2 separate regions of the Mus musculus genome follow, and region 2 is reported to be linked to region 1. Evidence: microRNA targets listed by miRTarBase, many of them from high-throughput screens and not tested one by one. Region 1 holds a microRNA gene; the other region holds the end of a gene's coding sequence.
The links. The annotated mature microRNA mmu-miR-466f-3p reads CAUACACACACACAUACACAC and lies in region 1 at 785-805, opposite strand. An mRNA with a match to its seed (bases 2 to 7 or 8) in the 3' UTR can be bound and repressed. Matches are read on the target gene's strand: a 7mer-m8 pairs with bases 2 to 8, a 7mer-A1 pairs with bases 2 to 7 and ends in A, and an 8mer does both.

Region 2: miRTarBase lists Ubn2 as a target of mmu-miR-466f-3p. Seed matches in the 3' UTR shown: 7mer-m8 at 338-344 and 7mer-m8 at 330-336.

What each region holds. Positions count from the first base shown.
Region 1 is chr2:10,466,534-10,469,533 of GRCm38, reverse strand. Mir466f-2 (microRNA 466f-2) reads right to left here and starts at 859; the gene lies at 766-859. The region is part of intron 10 of Sfmbt2 (Scm-like with four mbt domains 2); the gene reads right to left. Mir466m (microRNA 466m) reads right to left here and starts at 2,871; the gene lies at 2,788-2,871. It overlaps Mir466f-1 (microRNA 466f-1), which reads right to left and starts at 2,590; the gene lies at 2,497-2,590. It also overlaps Mir669f, Mir669e, Mir669b, Mir669d and Mir669l.
Region 2 is chr6:38,501,902-38,505,455 of GRCm38, reverse strand. Ubn2 (ubinuclein 2) reads right to left here. Exons shown (of 17, transcript NM_177185.4): 17 at 1-3,218. The coding sequence ends at 3,169. Among named protein-coding and RNA genes, the nearest start is that of Mir7670, 3.6 kb to the left of the region's middle.

The sequences.
Region 1 (3,000 bases):
GTGAGCATCCACTTCTGCGTTTGCCAGGCCCTGGGCCTACTGACTCTGGTAAACATTATCACCTGCTGACTGAGACCCCTCTCAGGCCAAGTACTGCATAACCTCCAAAACTTGAGGTGACATATCATTCAAATGAATCACTGAGTGCCATTCATGTCTGTGTGTCTTTGTGTGCCTGTATATGATTGTATGTATGGATATGTATATTCATATACAAACAGGCAAATGCACACAAAACTATACACCCATGCACATACACGGGGTACATCCCAGGAATACCAGGCTGATCTCTAACTCATTATGAAGTTAAGCATGAATTTGAACTCCAGATCTTTCTGACTATACCAATCGTTTATATCTGGTGAGTAAAAAGTTTCATTGGCCCAGTACTACATAATTTCTAAAGCTCTAAATCACATATCAATAAAATAAATCGATGAATACCATTCCTGCGTGTGTGTTGATGTGTTCATATGAATGCGTGTATATATGGGTGTGTATGTATATGTATATTCATATACACACATATACATGCACACACAACTATACGCACATGCACAAACATGGGGGGCAAAACATGATTCACAGTTTGATCTCTAAATCCTCATGAATGTAAGCATGAATTTGAACTCCTGATTCTCCTGATTCTGGCAAGCATTTTCAACTAGAAAGTGAGAGCACTCACTGGCCCAGTACTACATAATCTCTATAGTTCTACGTCACATATCATTCAAATGGATAAATGAGTGCCATTCGTGTGTGTGTGTGTGTGTGTGTTACATGAGTGTGTATGTGTGTGTGTATGTATACATATATTCATATACACACATGCACATGCACACACACGTAAACACACATTCACATACATGGGTGGCATCACATGAATGCCAGGATGATCTCTAACTGAAGTTAATCATGAATTTGAACTCCTGATCCTCCTGACTCTGTCAACCATTTTCACCTGGTGAGTGAGACCGTTCATTGACACACTACTGCATAATCTATAAGACTCTAAGTCACATATCATTCAAATGGATCGATGAGTGCCATTCCTGTGTATATGTATTTGTGTGTGTGCATGCATGCGTGTGTATATGGGTGTGTATGTATATGTATATTCATATACACACATATACATGCACACACAAGTATACACACATATAGAGCAAGCAACACACAAATCCCGGGCTGATCTCTAACTCATCATGAAATTAAGCATAAATTTTTACTGCTGTTCTTCCTTACTCTGCAAGCATTTTCACCTGGTGAGAGAGAGAGAGCTCTTTTGGGCAAAGGAATACTCAATCTCTAACCTCTAGGTTGCATATCATTCACATGGATTGGTAAGTGGCAATTGTGGGTGTGTTTGTGTGTGTGTGCATGTTTGTGTGGGTATGTATGTATATGTATATTCATATATACATACATTTTCATGCACACATAAATATACACACATGCACATACATAGGGGTCATCACATTAACACAAGGCTGATCTCTAACTCATCATGAAGTTATTATGAATTTGAACTCCTGATTCTCCTGACTGTGAGAAATGTTTTTGCCTGGTGAGTGAGATGTCTCACTGGCCCAGTAAATTTACATATTATACAAATGGATCGATGAAAGCCATTTCTGTGTCTGTATCTGCGCATGCGTGTATATGTTTGTGTGTATGTATATGTACATTAATAGACACACATGCACATGCACACAAAACTATATACACATGCACATACATTCATGGGGGACATCCCATGAATTCTAGGCTGATGTCTAACTCATCATGAAATTAAGCATGAATTTCATCTCCTAATCCTCCTGAGTATGGCAAACATTGTTACCTGGTGAGTGAGATCTCTCCCTGGCACTGTCCTGCCTAAACTCTCAAGCTCTAAGACACATATCATTCAAATGGATGTGTGTGTGTGTGCATGAGTGTGTAAGTGTGTGTATATTCATATTCATATACACAAATGAACATGCACACACAAGACACACACCTGCCCATATATAGGGTACAGCCCATGAATCCCAGGCTGATCTTTAACTCATTATGAAGTTAAGCATGATTTTGAACTCTGGATACTGATGCTCTGGCAAGCCTTCCCTGGTGAATGAAAAGTTTCAGTGGCCCAATACTACATAATCTCTAAAGCTCTAAGTCACATATCATTCAAATGGATCAACGAGTGCCATTCCTCTGTGTGTGTTTGTGCTTGCGTTTATACGTGTGTGTGTATGTATATGTATATTCATATACACACATGCACATGCACACACAACTATACACACAGGCACATACATGGGGGGCATCACATGAATCACAGACTAATCTCTAAATTCTCAGGAAGTTGAGCATGAATTTGAATTCCTGATTCTCCTGATTCTGGCAAGCATTTTCACCTTCTGAGTGAGACCATTCACTGGCCCAGTACTGTATAATCTCTAAAACTATAAGTCACATATCATTAAAAGTGATCAGTGAGTGTCATTCATATGTGTGTGTTGCATGTGTGTGTATGTGTGTGTGTATGTGTATGTATATTCATATACACACATGCACATGCACACACACGTAAACACACATGCACATACATATGAATACCAGGATGATCTCTAACTGAAGGTAAGCATGAATTTGAACTTCTGATCCTCCTGACTCTGTCAATCGTTTACACCTGGTGAGTGAGAACATTCACTGTCCCCTATTGCATAATCTCTAAAACTCTAAGTCACATACCATTCAAATGGATTGATAAGTGCCATTCCTGTATGTGTGTGTTTGTGTGTGTGTACGTGCGTGTGTATGTGTGTATGTATATGTATATTCATATACACACATGCACATGCACACACAAGAACACACACAGGCACATACATAGGGGCCATCACATAAATCCCAGGATGATTTCTAAATCTTCATGAAGTTAATTATGAATTTGAACTCTTTATTCTCCTGACTCTGGCAAGCGTTTTTACTTAGTGAGTGAGATGTCTC
Region 2 (3,554 bases), not on the chromosome of region 1:
CATAAAGTATGGACACCATTTTCAATGTTATGATATAGAAAGAAATGTATTTACATTTAGAAAGGACTTTGATTCACTTGTATAACATGAAAGGGTTGCTGGACTGGGGATCTGGCAGCAGTCCTTAAGGAGTCAAGACTGACAGAAAACAGGATATATTTTACACAGCATAGTCTCAGAGCCCAGGGTAATCTTATAAAATGACATGGGAAAGAGAACCATCAAGGGTCTTCGTATAGCATGGTTCAGAATCGATGGATTTAAGAACCTACAATTATTGTTTGACTTTTAATATCGATTGATTTATATGAATATGTATGTGTCTGCAAATACACAAATACACAAGTATCAGCAAGAAGAGACACTAACACACATGGACTTCTCTCTGGGTAGAGAAAATGAAGTACAGGCTGCCTTCCTCAACAGACACCCCAGTACAGCAATTTATGAAGTATAAGCAGGCCTGTGAAACGAAGTTTCCTGGTGCTGGCGTAAGAGCTGATCAAGTTTCTCTAAGAGACCTTTCAAATGAACCTTAACGTGCTAAATTCAAGTCAAACTTCTCTGCAACATCCCAATATCTTTCCAAAATATCTACTGGGGCTTACATAGCCTCCTCATTTGTTTTATTGGTAAAGTAAATTTCTACAGTCAAGAAATTATATCAGTGATTACTTTCGTTTGTTTTCCTTTTTTCTTTTCTCTCTCTTTTTTTTTCTTTTTCTTTTTTGAGACAGGAGGAGGGTGGAGGAGCTCCCAGACCGACCTGGAGAGCTGGGATTTTCTACTGCAGGTGCCGCACACAAACAATGCAATGGGGCAGGGAGGGGGGCAGTCGGGGCACAAATGAAACTTGAACTAGGAAGTGGGAGGACTTAGAGCGGAGAAGAGACCATTGTAAAAGGAGGGGTAAGGAGGGGAAATCTATGCTTTTTATTTTAAAAAAGAAAAAGGAAAAAAAGAAAAAGAAAAATGTTAGTAACAAAAGAGGACAAAAAGAAAAAAACACAGCTCACAACCCATTCTGCACCAAACCGGAAGGAGAAGAGGCGCGAAGGAGCCTGGAGCAAGGGGCCCCAGTTTTTTGAAGAACTTTATGAACTTTTTAAAGATTATTTTCATATGGCAGCAAGTGACATTGAAGAACTTGCTGTCAGGGACACCTGATATGGAAGTCCAATAGATTTTTAATTAATTGAACATTAAAAGACAATAAGACAGTTGGAAACAGACAGCTCTCATTGTTAGTCCAGTAGAGACTAGCATGGGACTTGCTGCTAAATACTTCAGGCTGGCCTCAAACCTGAGATCTTCCTGCCTCAGCTTCCTGAATTCTAGGATTACAAGCATGGGCCATCATATCTAGTTTCAATGTTCTTCTAAAAAAAAAATCATCTTCCTTTACTGTAACGAGTTCTTGGAACTAAAGCTTTCAATTATTCATTGACTTTTTTGCTATTAAGCACGCCATTGAAACTTTGAAGTCAAATTATAGGCATAAAAATTGGAGCAGGTCTGCGGTTGGTTATTATAGTCCTAGAGGCTTCTTGGGACTTTTGCTCATCAAAGGAAAATGGGGTCTGGTTAACACTCTTATCTGAATAAACTTAAATGATACAGAGTAATATGTAATGAGATTATAGAAGCAATCTTGTTATTACCAGGCTAGTCTGTCACCATATATAAACTAAATTTGTATCACTCAGAGCTTTTTCTTGGATAGTCTGAAAATACTCAGAAGTTTAAAATTCAAGGACACCACAAACATAGCTGAGGCAAAATAAAATGTATCCCAAGAAAATTGTGTTTTCCCCTTCACACCCTTCATTGCCTCTATTCGCATATGAAAACTAGAATTAACGAATCTTATAATCTGTAGGCTGACTTGAATATTAATATTCTGAGTAAGTCATAGTAAAACTTTTAAGATCCCAAATGCTGAAAACATCCTGCGCTGGGCATGGGTCATAAAGCTTCATTGTGATAGTTATAACAGGTGGTCCTTTGTGCACATCCTGTGCACATCCGTATTCCTATTAGACTTCATCCCTTTAAAAATACCACTTCAGAATGAAAAACAGTCCACTATTATACATACGCTATTTGTTTGACCCATGAAGAGACAGATGCTGTGCACACTCCTGTTTATATCAACAGCTCTAGTCACCTAAAGTACCGCTAGTGAAAGAGCACTGTGCAGGGAGGGAACTGGGAGTTTGCAGTTCTTGGCAGGCTGCAAGAGAGATGAGCAGCAAAGCAGCAGCCCAACAACAAAGACGCACATGTCAAGAGAAAATGCGAGCAGTCACTTCTGCATATCAGGACGAGAAATAACTATTAACCAGTCAATACCAGATGACAAGTGAACTGTGGAAAGGAGTGCAGTACTTACTTCTGAATGGAGGGTGAAACTGACCCTTTTATAAAAAGGGATTATCTACATTTTGTCTCGTAAGAGCACAGGCTCCTTTTCCTGACTTTAAAAACCTAGAAGCTATAGTACTACACATCACTGTGTCACAGCAGCTTTGCTAAAGTATCTTCAGGCCACTGACTCGCACGGGGACCTGCTATATACTGGAGAAGATTCAAGTTTGCTCAGGACATTTCAGGGCACAGTACTCTTCGGCAACTGTCTGGAGAGCCTCATGCAACTGACTGTGGAAAATCTGTCTACTAGACAGACATGACTGAGTCTCCTTAAACTGGGCTAATTCTACTTGTAGCTGCTTTTATTATGCACTTATCTGTAGAGTGTTCAGACCTAACCCCCAGGATGGATGGCCATTTACCCAAATCCTCTTAACTTCCTTCCTTCTTCCCCAGTTTTTTTCCTTTTCTTTTCTTTTCTTTCCTTTTTTTTTTTTTTTTTTTTTAAATACAGTCAGATTGACACTTCTGTGGGTTTGACAGCTGAGTCTGCTTTAAGTTGGTTAACATGGGGGCTTGGGTTTGAAAAGACCAAAGCTCCCTGACTTTGCACAAAAGCATCTCTTCCTCCTGCACTGGCTTTGCTCAAGTAACATTTTCTCTCTTTTCCTCCTCACCACAGTGCTTGGGACAAGCATGTAAACATGGACAGAAACAGCAGCCCTGTGACCGCCAAGACTTCCCATCAGGTCGGTCCCGCCAGCCAGCCAAGTGGTTCCTCTCCCCCTTGCTGGAAAGTCACTGAGGTTTCCGTGGTAACTTAGTGTCCCCTTTACTTTGGCCTCCATCTGAGAAAAGAAACATTAAATTGGTATGTTTTGCACATCGTAAAAAAGCAAAAGCAAAAGCAAGAAGAATCAGTTTATTGTGAATTACATTTCTAAAATGATAACCTTTACCTCACGTGGTGATGGTATTACAGAAGTTGATTCTGTAGACTGGTAGTGACTGAGAACTCTATGAAAACTATCCTGGCAGGTATGTACCATTCCATTTATTTACCTCATAACCATGTTCAATGCTGGGTTCTAAAGCAATCAGATCACACAATGCCCACCTTCAAGGGACCTACTCAATCTTTTGATTTCTTTGGAAGATTAGGCCAGTTTTATTTTCTTATAATA